4 linked regions of the Struthio camelus genome follow. The protein of the gene in region 2 purifies or fractionates together with the protein of the main gene of each other region. This does not show direct contact. Links are inferred from orthologs where the notes say so. Each region holds a gene or a part of one and is shown on either strand. Other genes may lie near its edges.

What was found.
Region 1: the proteins of ERBB2 (region 2) and ATP1A1 purify together in Homo sapiens (affinity purification with mass spectrometry; 4 studies listed by BioGRID and IntAct, with this or other methods). This does not show direct contact. The link is inferred for Struthio camelus from reciprocal best matches to the Homo sapiens genes ERBB2 and ATP1A1.
Region 3: the proteins of ERBB2 (region 2) and ACSL3 purify together in Homo sapiens (affinity purification with mass spectrometry; 3 studies listed by BioGRID and IntAct, with this or other methods). This does not show direct contact. The link is inferred for Struthio camelus from reciprocal best matches to the Homo sapiens genes ERBB2 and ACSL3.
Region 4: the proteins of ERBB2 (region 2) and TFRC purify together in Homo sapiens (affinity purification with mass spectrometry; 3 studies listed by BioGRID and IntAct, with this or other methods). This does not show direct contact. The link is inferred for Struthio camelus from reciprocal best matches to the Homo sapiens genes ERBB2 and TFRC.

The regions. Positions count from the first base shown.
Region 1 is NC_090942.1:93,474,286-93,482,163, reverse strand, and holds the start of ATP1A1 (sodium/potassium-transporting ATPase subunit alpha-1), read left to right. Parts: upstream 1-4,874; 5' UTR 4,875-5,174; coding exon 5,175-5,186; intron 5,187-7,878. UniProt on the Homo sapiens protein: This is the catalytic component of the active enzyme, which catalyzes the hydrolysis of ATP coupled with the exchange of sodium and potassium ions across the plasma membrane.
Region 2 is NC_090966.1:6,625,714-6,633,726, reverse strand, and holds the start of ERBB2 (receptor tyrosine-protein kinase erbB-2), read right to left. Parts: upstream 3,012-8,013; 5' UTR 2,876-3,011; coding exon 2,800-2,875; intron 581-2,799; coding exon 429-580; intron 331-428; coding exon 144-330; intron 1-143. Other genes in the region: PGAP3 (post-GPI attachment to proteins factor 3), read left to right, coding at 5,103-5,551, 6,962-7,079, 7,442-7,594. UniProt on the Homo sapiens protein: Protein tyrosine kinase that is part of several cell surface receptor complexes, but that apparently needs a coreceptor for ligand binding. Essential component of a neuregulin-receptor complex, although neuregulins do not interact with it alone.
Region 3 is NC_090950.1:12,443,852-12,450,814, forward strand, and holds the start of ACSL3 (fatty acid CoA ligase Acsl3), read left to right. Parts: upstream 1-3,959; 5' UTR 3,960-4,032; intron 4,033-6,963. UniProt on the Homo sapiens protein: Acyl-CoA synthetases (ACSL) activates long-chain fatty acids for both synthesis of cellular lipids, and degradation via beta-oxidation.
Region 4 is NC_090950.1:21,219,491-21,226,411, reverse strand, and holds the start of TFRC (transferrin receptor protein 1), read right to left. Parts: upstream 3,011-6,921; 5' UTR 2,919-3,010; exon of another isoform or gene 2,909-2,918; intron 2,854-2,908; exon of another isoform or gene 2,729-2,853; intron 906-2,728; 5' UTR 868-905; coding exon 835-867; intron 1-834. UniProt on the Homo sapiens protein: Cellular uptake of iron occurs via receptor-mediated endocytosis of ligand-occupied transferrin receptor into specialized endosomes. Endosomal acidification leads to iron release.

The sequences.
Region 1 (7,878 bases), on a different chromosome or scaffold from region 2:
TGGCTTCGCTTTCCTTGTTTTCACAGGGTCCCCCCTACAAGTAGTCTTCGGGAATTTGTGACCCAGCAGTTTTAAACCCTTAGTCTAGCAGTTAGAGCAGGGACCAAGCTCTTCTCAATTTCATCCTTTGATCTACTTTGCTGCATGACTGTAGTAAACCTCTGATTCCTCTTCAGTAAAACAAGAAAAAAACAGTTTTGAAGTTCTCAGGCTGAGACACTTTGAACTTACTATTGAGAAAGGCTGAGCAATTGAAGTTCCCACCTACAGAAGCAGCAAGTGCCTAGGAATTTTGTATAAGCACAACACTAAAGCACTCAAAATGACTGGAATGCTTGATATTTTTGCTCTTCGCCTCTGCAACCCACAATGCCGTGACTTTGAATGAAGGTTATACCATTTATGTGCAATGGCAAAGGACAGAGACTTAATTTTCAAAGGGCCATTAAGGATCCATTGTAATGTTTTTGCAACAGTATTTGAAGGATTTACTTGAAAGGCTTCAGAAAAATGTGAAATATTGTCAACAACGCAAAATGTTTGTATCCATCAGCCAGAGGGAGGGAAAAAGTACATGAAGAAACTCAGCCAAGCCTGACTAGATGTAGTGGATCTTGATCTTTGTTCACCCCATAGTTAGATATTGCTCTCCCCGGTCATTTTAATGGTATCCTAGCCTTATCTCCTAAGGTGATCTCATTAAAGCCAGGAGACAAGCCAGCAGGGAGTGTGAGACCTGTAATTACAGCTGGAAGGTCGATAGAAATACAGTTACATACAATCACCTTGTGTTCTCTGTGTCCCCTGGTAAGTGAATTACCCTTTAAAAAGCCTGAATCCCTTTTGGATGCCTTTTTAAACCTCATTTATATAGAGGCCTCATGGTGGAACTCATCTCACCTTATCCGCACGGCGGCTGCTTTTGTTGCCTGCTTTAGTGCGCTGTAGGTAACTTCATCCTCTAGAGACTCTAGAGATAAGGGACAAGTGGCTGAGGAAAAACAGCTTATTTGGGTCCAGCTGCATTCCCTTGTTTTGCTGAGGAAGTAGGAGCTGCAGGAGCATGTCACCTCTGAAGTGAATGGCACTGCATTGTCCAGAGGGAAAATGCTCCAATGTCCACAAACCTAATTGCCACTAAAGAAGAAGCTTTTCAAGGTGAAGGCCAAAGTGTGGCGCTCGCTACAATACATGCAAAATGCTGGTGGAGACAGGGGATGCCATAGAAAGCAATACTAGGCGGGAGATGGGATTCTTTCCTATTCTAGGTAGAATCCATTACGGGGATCTAACGTCCTAGCTTTCCCAGCAAATGCAGCCCTAGGCTGTGGCAGCTGCAAAGGGGCAAAGAAGATTTGCTTTTCTGTGTTCAGCTACATGCCGCTTGTTAGCGAAAGCAGGAATAAGCCTGAGTGGAAGCTGCTATATCCAGCAGCAAGAGCAAAGGGCTTTCTGATCCTTGGACTCTTTACCTAGAATCTGCTGAAGCTATTCTACACGCCTACCACCTTCTCACTGTGACTCTGCTTTCCCATCCTTAATATGGGCATAATAAAACTCCCTGGTGTAAAACACTCTCAGGTTCCCAAAGTAAAAAATGCTACAGAAGGACTGTATGATGTACATGCTATTAATAACAGCAGTAGGCATTCACATAATGCCTTGCACTGTTTTCATAATGCCTATCTCCATTCATTGCATCTAGCACTACCTACCCCTGGAATTTGAGCAGCCCACAACTGCGCCAAAAACAACGAACAGTCAGAAGGAAAAAAAGCATATTGCATCAAATCTTCAAAAAAGATTCACAATTACTCCCAGCCTGAATTGAGCAGGACACACAAGCAAGAATGTTCAGGTGTTAAAACCCGGCTGGATTTAATCCAGTGGCAGGAGTGAAGTTCCCTGAGTGTTATCCCTACTTCTCTCAGCCACCCTGCCAGCGTTATCAAAAAGAGTTTGTAATTGCTTGTAGATACTGAAACCAGAGCTTTCCTATTTTTTCTTAAGCTAATCCCTCTTACACCTGTTTCAGGAGGAGAATACAAGTACTTTACCCTCTATGCCTGGTTTTACACAATGAATTTTCCTTTGGCCCCTAGGGATTTGCTCTTACTTTAAATCACCGCCAGTAAGAGAACTGGGATACGCTTTTCTCCTGAAAGAAGTCGTAGGTGTAAGTTTACAACACCACCGTTGCACATGACGGTTTCACATGATGAAGAAATGGCAACGCGTCGAGTATCCCAAAGCAAATGATGGATCAAATTTACACTGCTCCAACTCAGCTATACTGTTCAGGCCATAAGCTGTTTCACTTCAAGGGGCAAAATGTATTGGAAGTTGTTTGGAGGGGTTTTTTAAAATGTCATACGGAAGATGCCTCACAGCTACATTGAAAGAAACTGAAGTTTGGTAAGGAGTGAAAATGAAATGAGTAGGTGATTTCAGTTCAGAAATTCCCAACCGGTTCCTAATACCTCTCCCTGCAGCTGGCAAGATCTAGCCCTTTATGGGAAGTCTTAAAAGAAAGCCTCAAAGATGAGTAATGAGAGCTAAATGAGAGCTCTGCCTTGGGGTCAAGATGGTGCAGCTTGGGAGGGAGACTGCTGCCCAGGCGCCATGTGTTTTCTAGGTAAATGGAAAGCTTCTGTCTCCAAGTCTGTCAAAACAGTGCCAGGTCCAATAAAGACCACCAGCAGCACAAAACGGATCTTAGGCAGAACGCTAAAAACGGGACTCGAAAAAAACCTGCTTCCTTGCCCTCTAAAATTGCATCTGAGCTCACCACTCTAAAGTTTCTACTTTGAAGTTCACTGCGTTCAGTCTCAGAAGTGCCTCAGTACCGAGCAGGCAAAGCCACTCGTAAGCCCAGCTGGAATCCCAAAACATAGTGTACATTTGTCTGCATGGACTCAGGTGTGAAATGTCAAAGCAGGTCTAATGCAGAGTGAAGGACCAAGCTTCACAAATGCTGTGGAGCCTCCCATCTTCTTTTGAGACACAACCAGCAAGGAGATGGTTGTAGTGGCATCCCTACCCCTTGCATACAAGGGTCTGTTAGCAAACAGGTTGATCACAAAGCTCTCACCCAGGACCTGAAAGGCTGAAGTTGTCTTCTGCTGAGGGGGGTTTTAGCCCCTGCTTACTAGCATGGTGCTTAACTACTTGAATGTAAGCTCTTCTCTCCAAAAATGTTCTCAGCACCCCAACAGCTAATCCAGTGTGTTTGGGGCCATCGGCAGGGAAACCCTCCCATGGGGAAGAGGCTACTGAAACACCTCCGCGGTGGGGTCCCCTGGGTATTTCACAGCTCATACCAGGTCCTGTAGGCTCTGTTAAGCTGTCATGAAAAAAAAAAGAGCAGATGCTTGTTTTCTTTGTGTATGAAGACAGAATTAAAAAGCAAACTGATCACAGGCACAGAGTAGCAACTTTGGCATCCATCAACTTTTCTCAGATTTTTATGTATAAAAGGAACCATGAGGATCACCTAGTCATGCTTCCTGAGCAATACAGGGCACAGAAATCTCTCCCGTAACTCTTTGCTGAGTCCTGATCACAATTTGTAGTAATTACTGAACTTTAAAGCCTTTAGAGCTATTTTTGTCAAGTTTATTCACATCTACTGGCATACAGGATGAGCTTTAACCTCAGCTTAGCAAGTCTGAAGCATTTCAGGCAACACGTAACCCAAGCCTACCAAGCACCCAATGTGATAGCAGAGAAGCAGAGAATGACTTGGTTGGAAAGGGCCTTCCTGAGGTCTTGAATCCTCAGAGCAGGGCTGGCTTCAAAGTTAGACGGGGTTGCCCAGAACCTGGTCCAGGCAGACTGTGACACCTGCAAGGACACACCTGCACACACCAGCCTCTCTGGGCACGGTGCCTCAGCGCGGCGCCAGCCTCGCGGCAAAAAACGTCACCCCAGATATCCAAACCAGAACATGCTTTGCTAAAATTCGCATGCTCCACGACAAGCTGCGGGGGCTGGAACCGAACACGTCCCGCTCCTCTGGGTCCAGCCCGGTTGCAGGCCAGCGATGGCAAGCAGCTGTGAGGCACGCAGCCCTCCGCGCGGCCCCACGGAAACCAGAGAGGGGAAGAGCGGTGGCGTGGGGAAGCCCACGGCTCCCCTCGGCGTGCTCCCACTCAAGCAGGACAAATCAAGCCCCCATGCCTCTAGGGTTGCGTTTTTCAGGGGAAACTCTCTGGCTTATCTTCCCTGTGGTGCTTTTTGATGTCCTGTCGGGATATCAGCGGAGAGCGGTTGGACTTCTAACGCAAGGCTCTTTCAACCTGCGGCTCTCAAGCGCCGGGGAGCGATTCAATGTTTACTTAACGTAAAGGATACAGGACGGCTGGTTCCTATCGTGACCTTGGAGGCTCCTGTCACCACGCAGTTGCCACTGACGGTGAATAACGGCCATTAGCGATAAATTACGTCAATCTCTTCAGATTTCACGGGAAAGCCGGGGCAGCTGGCAGGAACACAGCCACCCCTCCCCAGCCCGGCCCGGCCCGGCCCGGCGCAGCCCGACCCAACCCGACATGGCGCCGGCGGCGGCCCCGCGAGAGGCCCCGCGCGGGGCGGCGGCGGCCGGGCCGCAGCGCCCCCCGCCGGCCGCCCCCTCCCTCCTCCCCACCCGCCGCACCGCTTTCGCTTTCTTGCGCGCCCCTCTGCCCGCCGCGCCCCCGGCTGCCGGGGGCCCCCCGGGAGCGGCGGCCGGGGCAGCCAAGGTGAGCCCCAAGGGGCAGCCGCGGCCGGCGGGAGGGGCCGGGCCCGCTGGCAGCGATCCCGCTCCCCCTTCCTCCTCCTCCTCCTCCTTTCTCCTGGCTGGGCGCCCGCGAGGGGCGGGGCGCGGCGCGACGCGACGGGGCGGTGCGGAGAGGGCTCTTTATGCGGCGGGAAGCCGGCCGCGCTCGGAGCTGCGGGTGGCTGCAGCAGGGGCGAGGAGCTATCGCCGGCGGGGGCACGGGGGGCGGGGGGAGAGGAAGGCGAGGCGGTAGCAGCAGCAGCAGCAGCGGCGGCGGGAGGAGGACGACGGAGCGGCGGGCGGGCGGAGCGCTGCCGCTATTGTTCCGCACCTGCCGCCGGCCGGGACACGTGGCGCCGCTGAGCCCCCGCACCTCGCTAGTAGCACCCGCGGGCCCCGCACGCAGCCGCCCGGCACCATGGGCAAAGGGGTGAGCAGGGGCGGCCGCCGGGAGCAGGGGCGCGGAGCGGCGGCGGGCTGGCGCCCCTGGGGCGCGGCGCGAGCCGCGGCGGGGCGGAGCGGGGCGCGGCGCGGCGCGTGCCCGGGGCGTGGGCTGTGCGGCCGGGAGTGGGACGTTCAAGGAGCCGCCGCCGCCGGGGTCCGCGGGCGGGCTCGGCCGGGGCAGAGCGGGCGGCCGCCTGGCTGCGGCTACCCTCCCTCCCCCCTCCATGCCCCGCCGGCCGGGTCCGTGCCGGGTTGGGAGGCGGGCGGGGAGCCGGCTTGGTGCCGCTGACGCCGGTGGTGGCGGCAGCGGCGGGGGAGCGGCCGGCGCTCTAGCGGGCGCCAACGGCTGCCGCGGCCGTTGGAGGGTGGTGCCGAGCGCCCCAGGGGCGGGCCGCGTGCTCCGTGAGAGGAAGTAACGGAGATTGGGGGGGGGGGGGGGGGGAGAGGAGGCGGCACGAAGGCCCCGGCAGACGGCGGGCCCCGCCCGCCTGGGAGGCCGTGGGGGAGGGCTAAGACGTGGTTCGCGGTGCCGGGCAGCACTTGGCGTTTCTGCCCCGGGGAAAGCCGGGGGTGGGGAGGAAAGGGTGGAGGAAATACTTATTTAAAAGTTGAAGCTAGCGGTTAGGGTATATTATAAATAGGCGCCTATAAATAGGTTTCGTTTTTTAAGGCTGAGCTCTTAGGAATAAGTCTCCCAAATCTCATCGGCCCAGGCTTGTCGCGTTCGCCTTGCGTTCACCCCCTGCGTGGTTTCTTTCTGCGTGGGCCGAGCAGAGGGTGGGAGTTGGGTGCTGTTCTTGAAAGCTGAGCGATGCCTCCTCCTGGCATGAGGCAGAAGTTTGCCGGAGCTTATCCTGTAGGAAACCTCTCGCCTACAGTTTTGGGGTGATAAGCCCTCCTTTTCTTTGCGCGTGCTGTTGGTGAAAGCATGCTCCAAGCTGAAGGTTAGCCTGTCAGTTTTCTTGTCAGCATGGGAACAGAAATGTGCTCTGGTAGTGATGTTAGTGGGCTGCCCTTTTGGAGCTCGGCTTGAAAGCGTGGCTGCTCTAATATCTTTTTGGCCGTTATAAGAGTACTTTAGACTTCTGGAGGCATGAGGCGCCAGGGGGAGGTGACAGGCTAAAAGGCCCTGCTTATTAGTGCTCATTTGCTTATTAGTACCAGTGAGAATGTGATAAGACTTGATGGACTGGGGAAGATGATCATTCAAGACTTTATCGTGTCCCTCCGGTTAATTGGTGTGATAAAGTCTCCCAGGCTGCTGTGCAGCAGTTTCTAGATACTTGAGTGAGGAGTTGTTTCGGCACTTTGTTTCCTTTTAGCTTTCTATATTATAACCCACAATGAAATGAACTCCTTAATTCAGATTGTATTTTTTGAATTAAAAATAAGTATTTGAAGGCTCTTGGAAGCAGAAGTCAATACTCTGGCTTTTGATCACAGTAGCAAACTTTGCAGTGTGGGGAGCAGAAACACCTCTTGGGTTGCTCTGATTTTGTTTGGACGAAACAGCAGTTTCTCTGTGTGGGTTTTTAGTTTTTATTTGTAAGGGGTTTAGGGTCTCTTCCCCTCCAAATACTTGCTCCTAGATGTTGCACAATTGACGGGGAATAGATTTTCTTCCTGCTCCAGACTCTTTCCTGGCAAAACTCATAATTTCTCTGCTTCCATGAAGACAGCATAACTGCAAGGTTCCTAGAGACACAGGGATACCACGATTGTTCCCCAGTCCAAACCAAGATTGCTTGATGGTGCTTGCTGCTTACAGTTGTTCTGCATTTCTGAAGTGCTGTTCAAATATCGATCAGGACAGCACAGTGTCAGGCAGTGCTGTATAGCAGTGGCAACATTGACGTGAGTAGCAGAACTGTGAATGCAGCTGAAAGGGCAGTTATTTGTGAAAGGGGACTGAGGAGCGTTCCCCACCACCACACGCCACCACCATACATCAAGCTCAGTATCCCAGTGTAATGTATTTCAGGCTACTGGGTGGTTTAACTGATAGCAGTAACTTGGAAGGAACAGGCACTGTACGAGATCATCTAAGAGATAAATATGGGGGGGGAGGTTGATAAGTCCTCTGGCTGCTCTAGTTCATCAAAGAAGCCTTAGAAAGCTTTCCTGACTAGGATGCAGAAGGCTTCATGGGGGAGTTTAGGCTGTCTTGACTTGACCGGTGGGAGCTAGATCTTTCTTTCATTAGAAATTAAGTAGCTTATGTGTATAATAAGCAATTTGGCCTGAAACTGAACCTCCAACATGAGGGGTAATACAGCAATGTGTGGCTGCCTCAGGCTTTCTGCTAGAAAGTCGCAAGATTGGCTCATTTGGCAGTGAGAAAGCATGCTGTAATAGGGATACCCTGAAAAAGGTGGATGTGAAAGAGCAAGAAGTTGGAAAAGACTGCATATGATTGCAAAACTGAACAGCAAGCACCTGTCCTGACTTAGGGTGCCCAGAAAGGAAACCTTTCTTCTTTCCCATGGAAGCCTAGCATTGAAGAGACAGTAAGTGTGTGTGACACAGACAGACCTCTCTTAAGTGCTTGCATCTATGGCTCTGAAGAGAAGCTGACTAGAGCATCTGTTTTACTTTAAATGGTAATAGGGCGAGGGGAGGGGCCTGAGCTGCCTGGGTATGTCTTTCAGCCCAAATAGCAGATCTATCAAAGGCTGTGT
Region 2 (8,013 bases):
CAGAGGGGACACCCAGCCCCGGGCAGGGACCGCTGGGGGGACTGGTAGCCCCATGGGGACACCCAACCTGAGCATCCAACCCCGAAGAGGGACCACCGCCCCCCCCAAGCATCCCGGGGAGCAGGCCGCGCCGCGCTGCCCACCTGTGAGGTGCCTCATGCCGAGCTGGCCGAGGCCCGGGGTGCCGGCGGGGCCGGCGTTGCCCAGCACGGCCAGGGCGTAGCGCTCCTCGAAGAGCTGCGTGCCCCGGATGATGCGCAGGCTCCGCAGCTCCAGGCGGCTCACCCGGTTCTCCGCGATGAGCACGTAGCCCTGCACCTCCTTGATGTCCTGCGCGGGGCGGAGGGGCGGCGCGTGAGGGTCCCCGGCAGTGGCGGGGGGGGGGTCCCGGCCGTGCCACCGCTTCGGGGCGTCCCCGACCCGCTCACCTGGAGGAAGGCGGTGTCGGCGTCGGGGGCCAGGTAGGTGAGCTCCAGGTTGCCCTGCACCACCCGGCAGCCCTGGTAGAGGTGCCGCAGCGTCTCGTAGTGGCTCTCGGGGCTGGAGGGACGCAGCAGCTTCATGTCGGTGCCGGTGCACACTGCGGGGACAGAGCGGGACGTCAGCGCGGCGCTGGCACCGGCGGGAACGCGAGCCGGCAGCGCCGGCCTCCGCAGGAAATGCCGCGGAGGCCACCGCCGCCGCCAGCGATCTCCGGAGCCGCTTCCAACAGCTTCCTATAAGCTTCCGGCACCGCCGCTCCCCCCCCCCCACCACCACCACCGTCCCGCGTGGCCGTCCCCACCCCAGGGACAACAGCACCCCGGGGTGGGGGGGGGGGGACCCAGCACCCCACCGGGGCCGAGCCGGGCTGGGGAACCGGTCCGGGGAGGTGGGAGCGGGGCGGCGGGGGCCAGCCTGGGGCAGGCGTCGGGGAGCCGCGGGGCTCCCCGGGCCGACGTTCCCGCCAACGCCGGGATTCGCCGGGGCCGGGCGGGAGCGGGAAGGCTCTGCCCACGCCGGCCGGGGAGGGGGGAGCGCCGAGACAAGACCCGATTGTTGAGCGGCGGCGGATGCCGGGAGCCCCCGGCCGGCCCCGCCGGCGGCCTCCGGCCCCCTCCCGGAGCGAGCAGGGTGTCCACTCCGGCCGTGGGGCTCGCGGTGGGGACACTGCTTGGGGACACCCCCCCCCCCCAACACACCCCCTCCCCGGGCAAAAACAGCAGCACCGGTTTTGGGGGGGGGGGGGTGGTGAGCTGAGAACTGGCGCCGTCGTGCCACGGGTGCCCGCCCTGGGCCGGGCGGCTGAGTCACGGCCGGCGGGGTGGCACGGGGCCCCCGCGGCCGGCGGCGGCGGCGCGGCTCGCCCCGGCAGGAACCGCCTTTTCAGGTCGGGCATGTTTGGGGAGCGAGCGGCTGACGCAGGGGCGGGCCGGGCCGCCGCCATCCCGCCGCCGGGGGCCTCGGTTTCCCCGTCGAGGCCGCTCGGTGGGGGCCAGGCCGGCGGCCCGGCATGGCATCCGTCTGCTAGGGACAACGGGGGTTGGATGGTGGGGAGGCAGGGGGGGGGGCGGCCCACGGCGCGGCCTGGACGCCGCGGGGAAACCGAGGCAGGGCCGGAGGGCGGCGGAGGCCGAGCGGGGAGGGGAGGCCGGACGAGCGGCCGGCGGCTGAGTGACAGCGGCCCGGTGGCCCGGCAGCTGCCCTGTTGGGGGGGGGGGGGGGGGACGACACGGCCGCCATCTCGTCCCTCCTCCCCGCGCCGCCTGGCAGCGAGCGTCGGGTCCGAAGCTCAAGGTCTGGGGCGGGCGCCGCGCCGGGGGGGGGGGGGGGGGGTGCCAAGGGCCGGCGGGTGCCGTCGACGCCTGCCGGCGAGCGGGTCCCGTCCCCGTCGCCGCCGGCCCCGGTCCGCGTGCCCCGCGGCGTCGAGGGGCGGCCGGCGTTTCCCGCCGGGGTGGCGGGTCTGGCCGTACGGCGCGGGGCGACGTCGGCCCCGGGGCGGCGACGAGAACCCCCCCCCCGGCCTCAACCTCCCCTCGCGCCCCCCGCCCCGGGACCCCCCTCCTTTGGCTGGGGGGGGGGGTGCTCCTTACCCCGTCTCTGCTCCCCTTCACCCCCCCCAACTCTGGGCTCGGCGGGACCCCCCTTGCCCCCCAGCTCTTGGGATCAGCAGGATCCCCCTTGTCCCCCCCAGGCTCGACGGGACCCCCTTGTCCCCCTTTTCGGGCTCAGTGGGACCCCCTTGTCTCCCCCCCCCGGGGCTCGGTGGGACCCCCCTTGTCCCCCAACTCCTGGGATCAGCGGGACCCCCTTGTCCCCCCCCCATCCCGAGCTTGGTGGGATCCCCCCCTTGCCCCCCCCGGGGCTCGACGGGACCCCCTTCCCCCCCCCCCGGGATCAGCGGGACCCCCTTGCCCCCCCCGGGGCTCGACGGGACCCCCTTTGCCCCCCCCCGGGATCAGCGGGACCCCTTTGCCCCCCCCGGGGCTCGACGGGACCCCCTTTGCCCCCCCCTCCCGGGATCAGCGGGACCCCCTTGCCCCCCCCGGGGCTCGACGGGACCCCCTTTGCCCCCCCCCGGGATCAGCGGGACCCCCTTGCCCCCCCCCCAGGCTCGACGGGACCCCCCTTGTCCCCCCCCCGGGACACCCTGCCGCGACACCCCCCCCCCCACCCCGAGCCGCCCCCGATCGCGCCCCGCGCTCAACTTTGCGCCGAGTCCGGCTGCCGCCGGCGGAGGGAGGGGAGGGAGGGGGGGGGGACCCGGCCCCGGCCCGGTGTCCCCGGTGTCCCCGGCGGCCCCGGCAGCGGCGCACCCACCTTCGGCGGCGGCGGCGGGGCAGAGGGCGGCCAGGAGCAGCCCGGTGCCGAGGTAGCAGCCGCCGGCGGCGATCATGGTGCTCAGCGCGGGCCGCGGCCCATGGCCCCCGCGCCGGCCGCTCCGCCAAAGTTTGCGGCGCGGAGCCGCCGCCGCCGCCGCCGCCGCCGCCGCCGCCGCCGCCGCCTCCTCCCGCCGCGCTCCCGGGCTCCGCCTCGCGGGGCCGCGCCGCGCGCTCCCGCCGCCGCCCCCGCGCGCGCTCCCGCCGCCGCTGCCCCGGGCACCGCCGCTGCCACCGCCGGCGTCGCCCCCGGCCCGGGCGCTCCTGGGGGGGCGGGGGGAGAGCGCGGGGGGCACCGCGGGGCGCTGGGGGGGCGGTCGTGGGGCGGGGGGACACGGGGACAGCGCTGGGGTACGGGGACAGTGCTGGGGTACAGGGACAGCGCTGGGGCAGGGGGACAGTGCTGGGGTGTGGGGACACGGGGACAGTGCTGGGGTACGGGGACAGCGCTGGGGCAGGGGGACAGTGCTGGGGCGGGGGGACACGGGGACAGCGCTGGGGTACGGGGACAGTGCTGGGGTGTGGGGACAGTGCTGGGGTGTGGGGACACGGGGACAGCGCTGGGGTACGGGGACAGTGCTGGGGTGTGCGGACACGGGGACAGCGCTGGGGCAGGGGGACAGTGCTGGGGTGTGGGGACACGGGGACAGCGCTGGGGTACGGGGACAGTGCTGGGGTGTGCGGACACGGGGACAGCGCTGGGGCAGGGGGACACGGGGACAGTGCTGGGGTACAGGGACAATGCTGGGGCGGGAGGACAGCGCTGGGGCAGGGGGACACGGGGACAGTGCTGGGGTACGGGGACAGCGCTGGGGCAGGGGGACACGGGGACAGTGCTGGGGTACAGGGACAATGCTGGGGCGGGAGGACAGCGCTGGGGCAGGGGGACACGGGGACAGTGCTGGGGTACGGGGACAGTGCTGGGGTACGGGGACATGGGGACAGCGCTGGGGCAGGGGGACAGTGCTGGGGTGTGGGGACATGGGGGCAGCGCTGGGGCAGGGGGACAGTGCTGGGGTACAGGGACAGCGCTGGGGCAGGGGGACACGGGGACAGCGCTGGGGTATGGGGACAGTGCTGGGGTGTGGGGACACGGGGACAGCGCTGGGGCAGGGGGACACGGGGACAGCGCTGGGGTATGGGGACAGTGCTGGGGTGTGGGGACACGGGGACAGCCCTGGGGCAGGGAGACACGGGGACAGTGCTGGGGTACAGGGACAGTGCTGGGGCAGGAGCACAGTGCTGGGGCGGGGGGACACGGGGACAGTGCTGGGGTACAGGGACAGCGCTGGGGCAGGGGGACAGTGCTGGGGTGTGGGGACACGGGGACAGCGCTGGGGTGTGGGGACAGTGCTGGGGTGTGGGGACATGGGGACAGCGCTGGGGTGGGGGGACAGTGCTGAGGTGTAGGGACATGGGGACAGCGCTGGGGTGGGGGGACAGTGCTGGGGCAGGGGGACACGGGGACAGTGCTGGGGCATGGGGACATTCCTGGGGTGTGGGGACAGTGCTGGGGCGGGGGGACACGGGGACAGTGCTGGGGCAGGGGGACAGTGCTGGGGCGGGGGGACAGTGCTGGGGTGTGGGGACACGGGGACAGTGCTGGAGTATGGGGACAGGCCTGGGGTAGGGGGACAATGCTAGGACATGGGGACACAGGGATAGCCTTGGGGTATGGGGACAGGGGGACAACCCTGGGGCATGGGGACATTCCTGGGGTAGGGGGACAGTGCTGGGCTATGGGGACAGTCCTGGGGCATGGGGACAATCCTAGGATGTGGGGACAGTCCTAGGACGTGGGGACAGTTCTGGGGACAGGGGGACAATCCGAGGCTATGGGGACAGCCCTGGGGTGTGGGGCCAGTCCTAGGGCATGGGGACAGGGGGACAGCCTGGCAGCAGGTGGTGGGTCTCTGCCGAGGTGGCCTGGAGCTGACGCCTGTCCCCAACCCGGGACCGTCTGGGGCACGAGGGGGCGGCGGGAGCCACCAGGCCCTGGGGCCGGCCATGGCGCTGACCCCGGCCCTGTGACCCCCCCCCCCGGCGGAGCGCTATATCCCGTGATCCTCCGCGGCCCCAGTGGGGCGGTATATCCCGTGATCCTCCGCGGCCATCGCGGGGCGCTATAACCCCTGATGCCCCCGGCCGTTGCGGTGGGCGCTATATCCCGTGATCCTCCGCGGCCACAGTGGGGCGCTATATCCCGTGATCCTCCACGGCCATCGGGGGGCGCTATAACCCCTGATGGCCCCAGCCGTTGCGGTGGGCGCTATATCCCGTGATCCTCCGCGGCCACAGTGGGGCGCTATATCCCGTGATCCTCCCCGGCCAACGCGGGGCGCTATATCCCTTATACTCCCCAGCCATTTTGGGGGGGGGCTATATCCCGTGGTGCTCCGCGGCGCCATTGGGGAGGGGGCGCTATATCCCGTGGTGCTCCGCGGCACTACGCCATTTCCGGGGCAGCGGCCGGAAACGGCGGGGCCGGGCGGCCATGGCGGCTCGGGGGGCCGCTCGGGCCGCGCTCCTGCTGCTGCTGGGGGCGGCGGCGGCGCCAGGCCCGGCTCGCGGCTCGCAGGGCGACCGGGAGCCGCTGTACCGGGACTGCCTGGCCAGCTGCGAGCGGCGCAACTGCTCCGGGGCGGCGCTGCGGCACTTCCGCGCCCGCCAGCCGCTCTACATGAGCCTCACAGGTACGGCCGGGCCCGCCCCGCGCACCCATTGGCTGGGCGCGGCGAGGCCACGCCTCCTGCCGAGGTCCCGCCCCTCGGAAGCTCCGCCCCCTCCCTCGCACGGGGCGGGCGAGCGGCCTCGGGGCTGTGGGGCCCCACCGGGCCGTACTAGAGGATCACTGGGCCATACTGGAGGTCGTTGGGCCATACTGGGGGACACTAGGCCATACTAGGGGCATGCTGGGGGTCATTGGGCCATGCTGGAGGTCACTGGGCCGTCCTGGAAGCATGCTGGGGGTCACTGGGCCATGCTGGAGGGCACTGGCCCATGCTGGAGGTCATTAGGCCATCCTGGAAGCATGCTGGGGGTCACTGGGCCATACTGGGGGGACACTGGGGGACAGTGGGCCATGCTGAGGGACACTAGGCCATACTGGGGGCATGCTGGGGGTCACTGGGCCATACTGGGGGGACACTAGGGGACACTGGGCCATCCTGGAGGCATACTGGGGGTCACTGGGCCATGCTGGAGGGCACTGGACCATCCTGGAAGCATGCTGGGGCTCACTGGGCCATGCTGGGGGGACACTGGGCCATGCTGAGGGACACTAGGCCATACTGGGGGCATGCTGGGGCTCACTGGGCCATGCTGGGGGGACACTGGGCCATGCTGAGGGACACTAGGCCATACTGGGGGCATGCTGGGGGTCACTGGGCCATACTGGGGGGACACTAGGCCATGCTGAGGGACACTGGGCCATCCTGGAAGCATGCTGAGGGTCACTGGGCCGTGCTGGGGGGCACTGGGCCGTGCTGGAGGTCATTGGGCCATCCTGGCACCATGCTGGGGAACACTGGGCCATGCTGGGGGGATACTGGGGGACGCTGGGCCGTGCCGAGGTTTGCTGGGCCATACTAGGGGCATGCTGGGCGTCACTGGGCCTTACTGGGGCCATGCTAGGGGGTGCTCTGCCATGCTGGGGCTGTGCTGGGGACTGCAGGGCAGTGCTGAACCATTGTGGAAAGACATTGAGTGCTACTGGTGGGTGCAGCACCATGCTGGGGTGCACTGGGCTATACTGAGGAGGCACTGGGGTATGCTGGGGGGCACTGGGCTGTGCTGGGCTTTGCTGGGGGGCACTGGAGCATACTGGGGAAGACTGGAGCCTGGACATTGCCCCTGCCTGTGCCCAAGACAGTGGGGATCTCCCCAACTGGGCAGGGCAACCCCCAGTGGGCTTCTCCTTGCCTCGAGCTGGGCCCCAGAGCCCCCAGCTGCGGTGGTGGTCAGGCTGCGCTGCCTAACGGTCACACCGGTGTCTGCACTGGGATTGACTGGAGGGGGCTCTGTGACTGGGGACGGGGTACCCGGGAAGGGCTGAGCCCCCGAGGGACCCTTCCCCGTCCTCGGAGGCCTGTGCTGGCCGCCAGCTCCTCTCCCGCCGCTGCAGGCTGGACCTGCCGAGACGACTGCAAGTACGAGTGCATGTGGCTCACGGTGCAGGTCTACGTCCAGGGCGGCTACAAAGTGCCTCAGTTCCACGGCAAGGTGAGCCGGGCCGGCGCCCAGCGCCGTGCGCGCATGCGGGAAACGTGCCCCCGAGGCCCGGGGCCGCCCCGCGCACCAGGCTGTCCTCCCCCATCCCGTGCCTTCAGCCGCTGCACCACCCAGGGGCTCCCTCTTCCCGCGGCGCCAGGCGTGCTCGAGACGCCTCGGGGCCGCTCCAGCATCAGGGCCTGAGTCCCATGGGGGGGGCCCCCCGCGATGGGGGTGCTGATCCCCAGCCAGAGCCCGGCTCCCACGTCTGCGAGGCCTGTGCCAGCAGCTGCTGAGAGCCGTGGCCAGCGGAATAGTGCGATCCACACCGCTAACGTCTCTGTCGTCCGTCTCCCTCCTCTTTTTTGTTCTAGTGGCCCTTCTCTCGCTTCCTGTTCTTCCAGGAGCCCGCGTCTGCCTTCGCCTCCTTCCTCAATGGCCTCGCCAGCTTTGTGATGCTGCACCGCTACAAAGCCTCCGTCCCGCCTTCCTCGCCCATGTACCACACGTGCATCACCTTCGCCTGGGTGAGCCGCATGGCACCTTCCCTGCTGCCGCAGGCGCCTGTGCTGTGACGCTTTGCCCGGGGAGGGCAGGACAGTGGCAAGAAGCCATTCCCTGCTTCCTCCCTGCTGCCTTCAGGGGTCCCCTCTTAGCCCACGTCGTCTCTCCCTTCTCACGGGGACCTTGAATACCTCTGGGGCTATTGCAGGGCCCTGCAAGCTGAAGGGATCCCTGGTCAGTGGTGACTGATACGTTGCCCCTGTGAGAGGGATCAGGCCTGTCCGAGCCAGCTTGGGTGCCCCGGAGCAGCAGGAGGTGCTCCGTGACGTGCCGGAGGGCTGCAGGGGCCGCTGCTGCGGGGGAGCCCGTGGCCCTGCGCTGTGGCCCCGTTCCTGTCTGCTGTGGCCCTGGCTCTCAGCCCGCCCGTGTGGGAGGGCAGCCA
Region 3 (6,963 bases), on a different chromosome or scaffold from region 2:
GCGGAAATGGCGCTGAGCCAGACGTGGACACCAGTGGGTGGTGGTCTGAATGGGTTACAGAGGCTGGGTGGCTTTGACTTAATCTGTGAGAAGGCAAACCAGCTGTCATCGGGGAGTGCAGATGGACAGCTGTGTTTCAGATCGCTTGCATTAAAAAAAAAAAAAAAGAAAATGAATTGGAGTGTAACATATAACCATCCCCACTGGTTGTTACTGGGCTCCCCCGTTACCACCTGCTGCCAGACAGAGCACGCTTGTTCTCCCTCCAGCTCTCACTGCAGAGGGGATTTGTTTCCTCTTCTGTTCTAGGCTGTAGTCTTGATTGCAAGTGAAAACTGCACTCTTGGCTTCCCTCCAGAGTTACAACCCAGTTTCCAGGACTTGTTGAAAAAAGAAAAAAACAAAAAACCAAACACCCAGCCAACCTTCCATAAAATTTAATCTCTTCTCTGATCATGAAAGGCACCTTTTTAACGTATCAAGACTGACTTTTGATGTCATGCCAATACTGCTATTGTTTTCTTGGCATTGTTAATTTGAGTAACTTTCAATTAAATCTTTGACAGAAAAATAGCTTTCAGTTGTGTATTCCCTACAAATACATCATTTTAATTCATCAGATATTGAATAATTGTTTTTCATTAAAACAGCAGTCTGAGCCCAGGTAAAACATCTGTTTATAGCGTGGTTATATAGATGGCTTATTTTAATAATGTATAAACATTTAAAATAAAAAGAATTAGAACATAATGTCCAGGTTCTGTTAATGTTTGACAAGGACTGTTCAACATCTGCTAAGTTTTGGTGAGGGGCTCCGAGCAAAGGAGCTAGCACTGAAGGGATATGTAATCTGACAGTCAAATTTGTAAGTAAATAGGCAGTTCCACTTATGCATCCATATATATATATTTGTATATGGCCATGTGTGTATGTATGTATATATTAAAATGATTGATAGAACTTTCTCCATCCAATTTCTGTTCAGCTCTTAGAGATTTTGAATGACGGATTTTAATAGGCTTTCTTAGTTCTCTTGTAAGGCTGTTAAAGACTCGCTCACTGTTGTTTAAAGCGATCTGAGGGTCACCGTTATTCTATTCTATCCCAGTTCAAATTTAGTAATACTAAAGGGGAGGGTTTTATGTTTTAAATTTAAATTAATTCCATCAGCATTCTTATAATTATTTGTGGCTTTGGTCCAGCTTCTCCATGCCTTCCCAAGGCATACCTGGGTTCTCAAAGGTATTTTACTAAGTACGGTAATATTGATAAAATTAAGTGAGGTCTTTTGAAATGCAAATATGCCCCCCCACACCCCGTGGATTTCTGTTCTGCTTAGATTCTTCAAAAGATTCCTGATTAATGATCAATTTCAAATAAATCTTAGTAACTAAAGACATAGCCCAAAAGAACCGAGTCTGGACTGGCGTTTTCCCTTTAAACTTAGAATCTGAGTGCGAGTCTGGAGCCTGACCTTATGGCTGAAGCTCATATGCAGTCGAATGTGTTGAGCCAATACAGTGACTTAAGCTGCTTTCGAATCATTCCCCTCTGACAAAAGCAAGTGAATGAGGATTGAACAAATTAATTCAAAGATGCCAAATTGCAGACAGTCTTAATTGTACATAATCTAATGTAATGACAGTCTCGGGCCGTGACTACAGGTTCCTGGTATTCTCCCTCCTAACTTGTTCCTGCCTCTTCCCCGAGGGGGAAGGTGCATTGTGTTTGTTTTTTTGAACTGAATCATTTCAGAAATCTGGCCGAGAGCACGGCCACGCAGGCAGCGAACTGGAAGAGCTGCCGGGGTCCACCCGCGATAAGGGCAGAGGAGGTGGGAAGGAGCGCCTGGGCGAGCCCCGCGCACGGGACGAAACGTCCCACGGCCTTAGATGTGGGTCCGCAGGGACTGCCAGGAGCCGGGGAGCTCAACGGCGGATGAAAATCAGACATGAGGGTCACACCTGGTCACACCTGGACCTGCCTAAGCTCTTCAGGTATTTGGGTATGGAGTGAAGTTTTCATCCAGATGGTATTAATAGAAATACGCTGACTTCTGCGGCGAATGGGACTGACCCATGCTGCTTTAATTCAGCGGTGAGGAAAAGAGGGCCTGGCTTGGCCGTGTGGAAACGACCTTCACCAGCTGGTGGTATCTACCAGAGAAATGTCTGTTGGTGGTCGTCTTTTAGTACTCAGCCACTGCTTTAATTAAGGGTTTTACTTGAGCTGGGCCTGAGGAAGAAGATAGATGTTGGGATCTGGTTGTTAGCAAATGCAATATTTACGTATTTTTATTTCAGTATGTAAGTCTTTTCATTTAATGGGTAATAACATTCTATAGATAACCTAGGGATGGATAAAAATATAAAACAGCTTAACGGAGAAAAAAAAAGCAGATGTGTTAAGAGCATTTTGTTCCCTTTTCCTCATTTGCAAGCCTCTTCATGGTTCTCAGCTCTTGACTGCAATGGGTTTTTTAGCCTCTGCTGTGATTATATCAACGTACCTGATGCAAAACCGCCGGTGTAGATATGCTGCCATTATCTACGTGATGACCAGGGCAGCGAAGGCAGCAAATATGGCTTGAAAATGCAGGGTGTTGACAGCAAGGAGGGAAATCACCGTGCACGGGGCACACTGTGGAGTGTGGAGAGTCCCGTGACAGAGGTTTTCTTGTTGGCCTGTTTGTTTGTGTTTCGCTTAGAGGATGAGCTGGAGAGAAGGCCAATAAACACAGCCAGCAAGCAAGGTGCTGTCAGGCAGAGGGCACAAAAAATGGTGCTGAGTCACATATTGTCCTCTGGGCAAGGATGTCAGTCGTTACCGGTCAGGGTGGCGTCTGAAGTGAGGGCTGCTCTGCCTCAGTGTCTGGTGTTCAGCTGTGCAAACAGGCACGCTGCGTACGCCGCTGCCCCAGGTATTTACTCACACACCTACAGCTGTGCTAGTAACGCTTTAATTAAGCAGGAGCCAACCCCTATTGGAGCCAACAGGATTTTGGCTCAAGTGAGAGGGATGTAATTTTGCTTTTTAGTTAATGTGTATTGCATATAATTGAACCTGCTGCAGGAGAGAAAGGCTGATCTTAAGCCGATAATTCCTTGTTTAGATGTGACTTAAAATAACTAGCTTTGGGGAGCAGCGCTGATAGCAAGGAGAAGTGGTCTCCTGCCAGGACCATCAGCAAGCTGCAGAGAGCCCGGGAACTGTCACTTTGACTAACCTCGGAGGCCCCTTATCCCAGCCTTTCATCACCCGGTGAACGGCTGAATAAAACCCAACAGCAAGAGCTGGCCGGAGCCAACAAGAACTGAAGAGCTGCGGTGGGCTGGGAACTCTTCTTCCCGTCTAATTTCAGCAGAAGCAATCTGCCACCCAAGTAGGGGAGAATTCAGTTAACAGAGCTAAGGGGCAGCGAACACAGTCGTGTGGACATGATCATTAAGCCTGGTAGGAAGAGGGGCTATTATCTCAATTAGCGCCCGTGAAATGGAATACAGATGCACCAGCTTCCAACTGTTTACCAAATATATCCAGCTTCCTGTGGATACACACTTGTTTGGCCGTTCAGGTTGTCACAGCTAGTTCTTACTGTTACATTTTGAAGTCTTAGCTGACGATGGAAAAACAAAAGCAAGCCGGGAGGAGGTGTCACTGAAAGCGGGTGAAGAATCCTGGCGCTGTAGGCAGTGCTGCCGGTGTGAACAGCACGCCGTGCGCTGACAAGCTGGTAAAATGCATCTCTCTCAGTCATCCTCACGGGTCTGGCCATAACTATGCTTTTAGTTACAGGGCACCACAAGTATGCATGTTGTTTTTCAAGTATGAAAAGCTCTTTTGCCTGTAGTTGGAGTCTCTGATACCTCTAAACTTTGTTCCTAGTCTGGTGCAACTGTTCGAGGTTTGTGTTGCATGTGCCACAACAAGCGATGAAAGTAAATAAGGCGGAGGGCAAAGGGGACGGAGAGCAGGGGTTACAGCAGCTCGGTCAGAGCTTTTGGGTTGTGCTCTGGGAACAGCCTGGGATGGGTAAGTTGTTCACGGGGACTGCATTTCTCGCAGGGGAGGGAAAAAACTGGCAGGAGATGAAGCAGAATTTTCAGGGGACCCAAAAAATTTAGTTAAGCAGGAGAATTACCTGCTTGTTGGCCTCTTCTTTCCCTGGCACCGGTTTTGTTGCGTTCCTTTGAAAGAGATATTGTTGAAATACAGCATCTTTCTCTTGAAATTGCCAGTTTGCAGTTTTACTGTCTGCATTGTCAAGGACACGCTGTAATCATCAGTTCCTCCTCTAGCATGCTGTGTTATGTGTGCGAGTGCTACTCCACAGCTGGCACAAAGGTTACTTATTTTAGACTTAAGCGAGTCAATTCCCACGTTATTATAGCATATATGTATTTCCTAAATCAAGGACTGGGTTCTGCAGACAAAAAGTGTTTCTTGAAAGCCACGTTGTTAGTGTAAAATTTAAAAAAATCATTACTTGCACCATGGAAAAATCTATGTTTTTAGTAGTAAATCTAAGATTGCATTCTTTACATTCTGGATTCTGAGCCTGTAAATCTTTCAGACTTTGTTTGTACAAGCACTGAAATCTTAGGTTTTTTTAAAAATAAAAACTAATTTTTCTTATATCCCTAACTCTAGTAAATGAAAATTAGGAGAAATACAGGTTCCCACAAGGCTCACTGTGATGCCTAGCAGTGCTGTGAAAGTGTTGCTTTTCAGCAGGTTGGGAGATGATGCGGTATCTTAGGATTAGGAGCTTGACGATTTAGTATTTCTCCAGATGGAAGATACTTACTAGTAGCATAAAAAACTACTCAATAAGGGTGATGAGGTGCAATCTGTTCCATATTGCATGATTCTTTGTGTACTTGCAGAATAGCACTAAGCAACTTCTAAAATCGGACTGAAAGCTGGATTTTCTCTTGAATAAAAATGACTGTTCTTTTCATGGGGTAATTACTGTCTTGTTGATTGTTACCTTCAGTGCTGTGGACTGAGAAAGAGCTGGGTAATAAATAAGTAATAAATAAGTAATAAATAAGTCTAATAAATAAGTAATAAATAAGTCTAAAGAGGTTTATGTACTGATGTTGCAAACTGTTAGATAAAGACAGATATAAAGATAGACCAGTGTATCTTTTTTTTTAAATGAGTTTTGTCCTTTGAAATGGTCACAGGAAACTTAATATTGCTATACAAACTGGTATCCCTTACACAAGAAGAATAAGGAGATATGAGCTGAATGCCCTTTATTACTATCATCAAAGTAAGTTTCTTAATAAATATTAGTTCTCAACGTTTTTTATCATACTTTCCTTGGCTTGGCAGGAACAATGCAAATGACACCTAATGACAGTTCTTCTAGCTGCTCCTATCCCAAAGGCATCCAGGTTTCAAACAGTGATTAGATATTCCACAATATACTTTCAGTAACTTCATTTATTACTCACTATTATATTACTATTATATTCACTATTATTATTCACTATTTATTATCACTGTTAATTACAATACCACCGGAGTAGTATTGCTGTCTATTACTAACTTACAAAGAACCTTGAAAAAATAGTTGATCAAATTTATCTGAAGAATACTTTATGGTAAAACAGCCCTTTCGTTTACACACGTTTCTAACGCATCAGCGTGCTACAAGACTGATTGCTCTTATTACTTTAGCATAATAGTTAGTATCTAATTTTAAGAGCCTAATGACTTATAAATGTCACACCCCAAGATTTTACATTGATGCATATTTTGAAGATAGTAATAAAACTGTTATTTAGGCCTCCAAAAACATAGTTCATTTCTACCTGTTTCCTTAAGAGGCAACTATTGCCCAACCGCCCCCAGGCAACAGCAGTACCTTGCTCCCATGAAAACTCATGCTGTTGGCTGTGTTAAAGTCCCGTTCTGGAGGAAAAAGGAGGTGACTCAGGATATGCAATTGAGTTTTGTAATCTTTCAGAATGGTCTTCCAGGAGCAAAACAGGTTGTGTGAGAACACGGCCTTGATGAGCTGTGCTAATTACAACGTCTGGTTTAAAATTCCAGGCTTTTGTCTAAACCTGAGAAATGGGTGAGACAAACTGCCTTCCAAAACAACCTAAATACATTAAACCAAGTACAGATATACTGTAAAATTTTTACAGAGAATAACTATTTCTAAGGTGATCACTAGCTAAATGAAGTTTAGTTTTCCCCGCGTTGTCATAATCATGAAAGCGTAATATATTAACAACACACATTTTTGTTTATGGAAGGTCTCTGTGAATAGCAGTACTATCATGTTGTAGGATGACAACTGCCCGCATAGGAACACAATGGTCCTTGTCCACTCTGAGTATATTATGTCCTTTCAATGCTTAATTGGCTAGCAAAGACAAGTCCAAAATATAAGTTGTGAGTTGTTTATAGTTTGAGAGGATGAAGTCATGTTCCTTGTCTTCTTGCCAAAGGTAATGAATGTTTGGATCAGGGTTAGAATTTCCTGGCATGGGTTGTCTCCAGAAAGGTCCAGAATACAGTATTTAGGAGGAAATACCGCTCATGTTTTAAACTGGATCCATTTCAAGACTTAGGACTTCTCTGAGTTATGATGTTCTCCTTCGAATGTGATAGTTTTTTTGTTTCCTAAGGGAAGGGTTTAGAGGAACAATCCCTTTAAAATATTAACTGCATGTAAAAAAAAATTGTTTTTAGTTTTTTACATATATTCACAGATATTCTACTTTCATTTTGTGAACATGCTCATGCCTTGGAAATACCAGAAGAGATAAGGAGTACATAATGCAGTATTTGAAGAACATAAATAAGATCCATTAGTTGATCAAGCAAGCGGTCTGTAGTAATGCAGATCGTGATGTTCAGGTGTCCTCATTTATGTGCTGTTAAGATAGCATGATTGTAGTCTTCCTCATGAGCTGGCTTCCTTAATCTTAATCCTTCTAATCC
Region 4 (6,921 bases), on a different chromosome or scaffold from region 2:
CGTCACTCAGATTAACAGACACTGTTAACTCAATTCCAAGCTTAACCAGGAACTGAGCAGGACCACAGAATTAGCATTAGAGCTGCTGAGCTTGCCCCCAGCCATGCTTGGACACATGCTGGAGACATGCAGAAGACTGGCTAGAGGCCAGTGGCTACGCTTCACTTTAACCTAGCAAAAAAGTCTCCCTGCTCAGCTGTAGGCAACTGTGGCTTCCCCGACACTTTGCAGAGGACACACCTCCACCTCCTATATCCTCCATACCTGCTCAGGGACCAGACCAACATATTTGCAGTTCTAGCCCAGGGTCATTTCACAGACTAAGCTCTTAAGGATCAACAGGCTTAGCCAAGCAAGCTCAGAGCTACCTCCTCCTGGAATACTTGTTTCAAAGCACAGATTACATTCAAAGGCTGGACTCACGGTTGCATGTGTTCCCTTCCCTCCCCCCTCCACCAAGTAACATAATAGAATGTTGATTGTCTTGATAGGCATCAAATCAGCTTCCTCAGCAGTACTTCCTCCTGGAACATTGTTCAAGGCTCACCCCCCTCCCTATCACTTTTTCAGCTTCCTGAAAGACTCAAGACATCGTAGCACTCAAACGATAACCCTCACCAGCACTCAACTGCTTTCTTAAGCCACCTCCACATCATAGGCAGGCAGCTACAGTGAAGTCTGTAGCTCAGAGTCACAACCCACAGAGTAATATCTAAGTGTTTTGGATTTGTTCTCTCCTGTGAGACTGATATGGACTCCACTGGATCGTGCTTCTGTTGCTGCAGTACTGTCAGCCCACCAACTTGAGACAAACGAGGGGAAAGGGGGTCTTACCAAGCTGGAAATTGCTGCTCTGGCATGGTCCATTGCTTTCTGGAGGAGCACCCACCAACTTGACCAAAGCCCTAGAAGTTTAGAAGGCAATACATCAAGTCAGGCTGCTCCCCTCCCACCACAGAAGAGGTCCAAGTCAGTCACCGTTATGAGTAGGATGCTTGTCCAGAACCATTATGTGCATGCTTCTATGTAAGTCACGACAGTTGCAGTCGGTCTATATCAAGCTCATCAATTACCCTTGAAATACAACCTGTAAGTTCAAATACTCCCACTGCAGATATAAGTTCAGATGGACAAGCTGAATCTTTTTGCTGAGCACTGGGAAGAGGGAAAGAGGGAGAAAAAGGAGGAACACAATCTCAAATGCCTAAATTCAGCCAAGGGTCTTATTAACGTTAAGGCCACCACCTTTTAGGGGGAGCTGGCAAAAGGCAGCTGCTCAGTGGTGACAAAGGACACTACTTAGCAAAGCAGCCTGTGGGGTCTGTTTCAATGACAGTATCAAGACAAGAGCTTGCCTGGTAGCCAGAAGTAGCACAATGCTGTAAGCTGAAGCAGCACAAATTCCCACTCTACAGAAACTCTTTCAACTATAAGGCCGCCTATAGACGGCTATGTTCTTTCTCTCTTTATGAGAGCAATTTCAGTATTTGGACAGTTTCCCTGACTAGTCAAGAGCAACTGTCAAGGCACAAAAAGCATTTCAGTGACTTCTATAGTTTGGATTTTTCTGGATTGTGGGCTTATCTGAAAGACAGAGCAGAACCTGAGTTACTTTAGCTTAAACATTTTTTCCTGGAAAGATATTTGATGAAGCTTTGCAAATTAGTGCCTAGACATTGAGGCACTGTGACAGCTGGCTAAGTTGAGAGCATATAACTTGCGCAGTTTCCTAGCAGCGCTACTCTAGGATATGATCTGTGAGTTTAAGCCTGGCAGAGCATTTGAACTGGTCTTCAGATGCACGTGGATTACTTTTACACCTGGGAGCTCTGAAGTATAATCAGGTTATCAGGAGCAGAGATGATCAAAGGTTAATGGTGGCCATCCATTGTTTCACCTTTTGCTTAGAGCAAGAGTACATGCAGATAAACCTCCTGGCAGCTTTCAGAAACCTGCCCCGATTGACAGTCAGGGGCCCAGGCACTCGCACAGCACTCGGAGCACAACAACAGGGCTGTGCACAGCCCCTGCAATGGACAGGGAGGGGAGCCCTCTAGAAGCAAAGTCAGATACCCGAGGGGAAGACTTCACCAAAGCTTCAGCGGGGCTGCCTTCCCGTCAGGAGGGGGACACATCAGCAGCGCGCGAGCACAGCACATACATGCTTTGCAGAAATCGCAGCGAGACCTTCCGCAGCCATCTCCAGCGGCTCACCACCCCCCTCCCCCGCCGGGGGGGGGCGGCGCCTCGGGGATATCACGGGCCCAGGGGCCACCGCTCCTCCCGCGGAGCCGAGCCGGGGGCTGGCCGCCCCGGAGGCGCTCAGCATCCCCCCGCCCCCGGCAAGGGAACAAGCAGAGCAGCGACCGCCCGGCCTCCTGGAACCGCGGGAGGGCAGGGCCCGGCTGCGGGGCCCCAGATAAGAAGACCCGGCGATATCCCGCCGCTGAGGGCACGTCTCGCCCCGCTCCGGCACGGCGGGGACGGCCGGGCCTGCGGCAACGGCCTCCCCCTGACGGCGCGGCCCGGGGCTCTCCCCGCGGCGCGGCGCGGCCCAGCCCGCCCTCAAGGTCAGGCGGACATGGCAGCCGCGGCGGCGGCCACGTGCGCGCCCGCCCCGCCGCCAAGCGGGGCCCGCCGGGGCTGCCGCGCCGCGACCCCCCCCCCTCCCGACCCGGCACGGCCCGCGCCGCCCGCCCGCCCCCCCCGAGGCTCGCCCTGCACGCACCGCACGTCGGCAGGAGCCCTCCGGTGGTCGGAGCCCGCAGGAGCCCGCGGCCACCGCCTCGCCTCGCCTCGCCTCGCCGCCCCTCCCCCTCCTCCTCCTTCCCCAACGGTCCGCGCCGGCGCGCGCGCGCGCGCGCTGCCGCCACCGCCGCCCCTCACGCGGCTCCGCTCCCCGCCTCACCCTGTCTCACCTCGCCGTAGCCCGACTGCCGCAGCGCCTGCCGAGGCGCCGCTCTTCCCCGCCACGGCGCGCCCCGCCCCCCGCCGCGCCCTCAGCCAATCGGCGCCCACCGTGCGGCCGCAGGCGCTCCCCCTCTCTGCCCTCCGCGCGCGCGCGCTTTGCCCCCCCCCCGTGCCCCTCCCTCCCCCTCCCGCTGTGGCTGCGCTTCGGCGCTCTGAGGGGGATTAAAGGGGCTCTGAGGGGGTTAAAGGGGCTCTGAGGGGGGGTTAAAGGGGCTCTGAGGGGGTTAAAGTGGCTCTGAGGGGGGGTTAAAGGGGCTCTGAGGGGGGTTAAAGGGGCTCTGGGAGGGTTAAAGGGGCTCTGGGGGGCTCAGTCCGGATCCGCGAGGCGGGACTGTGAGGGTAACGGCGGGTGCGGTGCGGGCCTTCCCCCCGCCCACCTCGGTGCGCAGCCCTTTGGCCCGACGGTGGCAGGTGGCCTGTGCCCTGGCGAGGTGCCCTGTGGAGAAAGCTCGCTCCTGCGAAAGGCGGGAGCCTGCTGCGCCGAGCGGGGCACCCAGGCGGCAGCCGGGCCAAGCTGCGGCACGCTCGGGCTCCCTGCTGCTTGCCGGGGGCCTGGGGCACAGGCTGCAAGCTGAGGCAGGCAGGGGCGGAAGCGCTTCTTGCCGCCTTTCTGCTTTGTGGCGGGAGGTGAGGCTCCCTGCGAGCTCGGGCTTTGAAACGAAAGCACTGCATGGCCCCATTGCAGCAAGGGCAGCGGGAGCAAGGTTAAAGCCGCTCTGTATTATCTTCCCCTTCCCACGTGCCTTGCAGCAGAGTTAATCGCATTTTCACTCAGGGGAGTTTTCATCACAGGCGCTTTTAGGGGAGCTCTCAAACAGCAGGGCTGTGCTGATCCGTCAAGTGGTAATTTATGCAAAAATAAAGAAGAAATTACAAGATTTTTGAATGAGGGGCAGTTAAATACCCGTACGGACCAAAATAAGGATGAGAGCAAGAAGGGGAGCGTGCGGCTCGGTGACTAGAGCCTCCTTCGCCCAGGCCCACAGCACGCTGGCTATAGGGCCAAAGTTACACCTGGGAGGGGGGGCTAATGTCCCTGCAGCCCCTCTCAGGGGCCTCATTGAGACGCTCATAATCCCCTTTTGGGGGTTAGATGACAATTTTTATTTACATCAGCGCTTAAACGGCTGGAGGGTGGCCTGCATCTTGTCCATGATGCTTACAGGAGTGGCACTGAAGGGATTAGGTCGTTGAGAGCATATTTACAGGCTGTATTTGGGGACTCGGACCCTGGGAGCATCTGAAGTGGCCTAAGGGCATTAGGGCACCTGTCTTGGGTGAAGGGGTAGAGCTCAATCTCCAAAAGGGAGCAGGTGCAAACTTGTATGCGTCCCTGTTTTATTTTTAAGGAACCTGGACGAATTAGAATGTGTCGGTCATCTGACAAAATAAAGATTTGGTAAACATTTTTCTTTCTGAATGATTCATAAGAAGAAGCAACACGTAAGGAGAGAGAGAGAGAACTTAGTGATTTTAGGGTGAAAATGGGAAACAGTATAGTGGGGGGAATTTGAGAAACCCATAAACCACACGTGCTGTTGGCAGTTTTATCTCCAGTTGTCAGTTTGATGCCAGGTTAAGCCTCAGTGGGTGGTGAAAGCAATAACTCCAGGAGCAATGAGGAACTTCAACAAGCAAAGTAACTGGAAACGCAAACAGATCATTCAGCCAAAACATGTCACGAGGACAGCCTGAACTGCTGACTGTGAGTGGTGGGGGGGGGGCATCACGCCACCCTACCAGCATCACTAGGGTGCCGGCAGGCTCCCCTGTATGTGATGGGGGCATGTTCCCACTCCCCCCGACCGCGCTTGGTCCTGTGGGGTCCTAGAGTGCCGTAAATGCTGAGCTAGGACAGGTTGCAGGAGAGCAGGAGCAGCCCCGGGGTGGGGGGAAGCCTGAGGTCAGAGAGACCAGGATGCTCAGCTCAGTGCCCTTGCTGAGAACTAGCTGATCCCACTGGCTGGGAAGGAAGGGAGATTAGTGAGCAAGCCCTGGAGAGGCGAGTGGAGAGCTCTGCACCACGGCACAGCCAGGTCCCAGCTGCGGCCCCGCTTCCCAGGGGCTCTGCAGAGGTGCTCTTTCTGGCGCTGGTCCCCGAGGACTGCCAGGGCTGTGATATTTACCTTTCTTCCTTTCTGCTGAAGGTTAATCTCATAAAGACCCTGCACTTTCCTGGGCATCTGCCTGGACCCTGCAGAACATCTCATCCTCATTGGACACATGCTGACATTTCATCTCTTCAGAGTTGCCCACGGTCACGAACAGGCCTTGGCTACAACTGCAGTCTCCTCTTCCTTGTCTGCCAGTGCTCTAGCATGAGTTGAGGTTACTGCTTCCCGTCTGTCATTGAATTCAGGGAGCCGCTCAAAGGAGTGTTGGTATCGGGTAGTGCTTCCAGATTTTGGTGTGCGCGTGTTCTGTGATGCTCCATTCATTTTTCCCTTGCTCAGTAAAGAAATAAGCTGGTACGCCTGGGTTATTACCTCAAATCCTCTCCAGGGAAAGCAGGATGGGAGCAGAAAGTTTAGTTTGGTATAACCCATGATTGCAAAGAGGATTATGTTTCGTGAAAAGAAATACATTCCTGCGTTGGTAAAGGGGGGGATTAACTAGATCTGAAACTTGATGTGGCTGTCTGGAGATAAGTCTCCCCTAAAACGGGGCCCAGGCGCGCTGACAAGATGTACGCGTGGACCAGCGTTCAGTTTTCTGGAGAAGGTTAGACCCAGGCTCTAGCGTAAATGGGCTCAGAAAGGGGTTAGATCATTCCTGGAGGATGGATACCCTGGTGGCTTTTAAACACAAAAGTCTGGATGCAGCCTGCTGCTCAGCCTCCAGCGGCTCTGACCCCTGGAGAAAGTAATCAAAGTAGAGCAGAGCAGAGCAGAGCAGCATTTGACTACCAAGGCCCGACAGGAGGAGTTTACACCCACAGCAGAACTCAGTCAGGCGCAGGAGATCCCAGATAACGGTGCTGAAATGCAAGCTTGTAAAGGGAAACTCCAATTTCTTTCTCTCCATGTCCTTCTTCAGCTTTCGTCTCTATTCCTTCTAGCAGAGCAGCTGCTATGTGCCACGTGGTACCAGCCCTAAACTCCCTTGACAAATACTCACTGCAGGTGTTTTCTGTTCTCTCTCGGAATATGTTTGGCCATGTGTTGTGCATTTCCACATTTTTACACCTGCCAGGAAAAGAGAAGAAAGCTGGTGCTTTAGAAACTCAGATATTTTTGCACCAGAGCTAGCTATGGTGAAATACCTTTAAAAAGACCATCCTTCAAATGCAACATGGTACCCATGGATGGAGGACTGCTGGCTTCTGATCCAGTACAGCTGAGGTAAAGTGGTCCAGTAAGATGCATGGACCCTCTGTATTTGATTATGGCACAGTTTAGGTCCATAATAATCAGGAGCCACTGCCAGTTCCCAAAGTCCGTGAAAAAAGCAGGAACTTTGAGTGTTTAAACTCTGAATCTGGCTGCTGCAGACTGTTGTTTGAGCCCTGCTGTGTCATGCTGTGCATATTTGCAGCTTGCCCTGAATTGTTTGCTTCTGCCCATTCTACTCCTTGCCTGGCCCATCTCTTGCTTGTGGTATTGCGTAGGGGCCTCCATGCTCGTTGCTCGTCTTGGCATCCTACTTTAGACTGGCTTCCGTCAGGTTGTTCCTCTTCGTTGTGGCTTGGCTCTGATATTTTAGATGTTTGTCACTGTTTTCTCTGAATTTCTGGGGTGCTTGTGACTCCCCTGACTTGGGCTCAGATGACTCCATGTTGCCTTTGGGCAATACTCCAGCATGCGATGCTGTCCCTCCTGCAGGACTAATGTTGAAACATGAGCCCAAAATGTGGGGGCAATTTCACTTCAATGTCAGAGTGGCTGACACTCATGTGACCAGCTGTCCTACCCACATTTTAGGAAGGCAGTTAAAAAGTAGAGAGAAAACAAA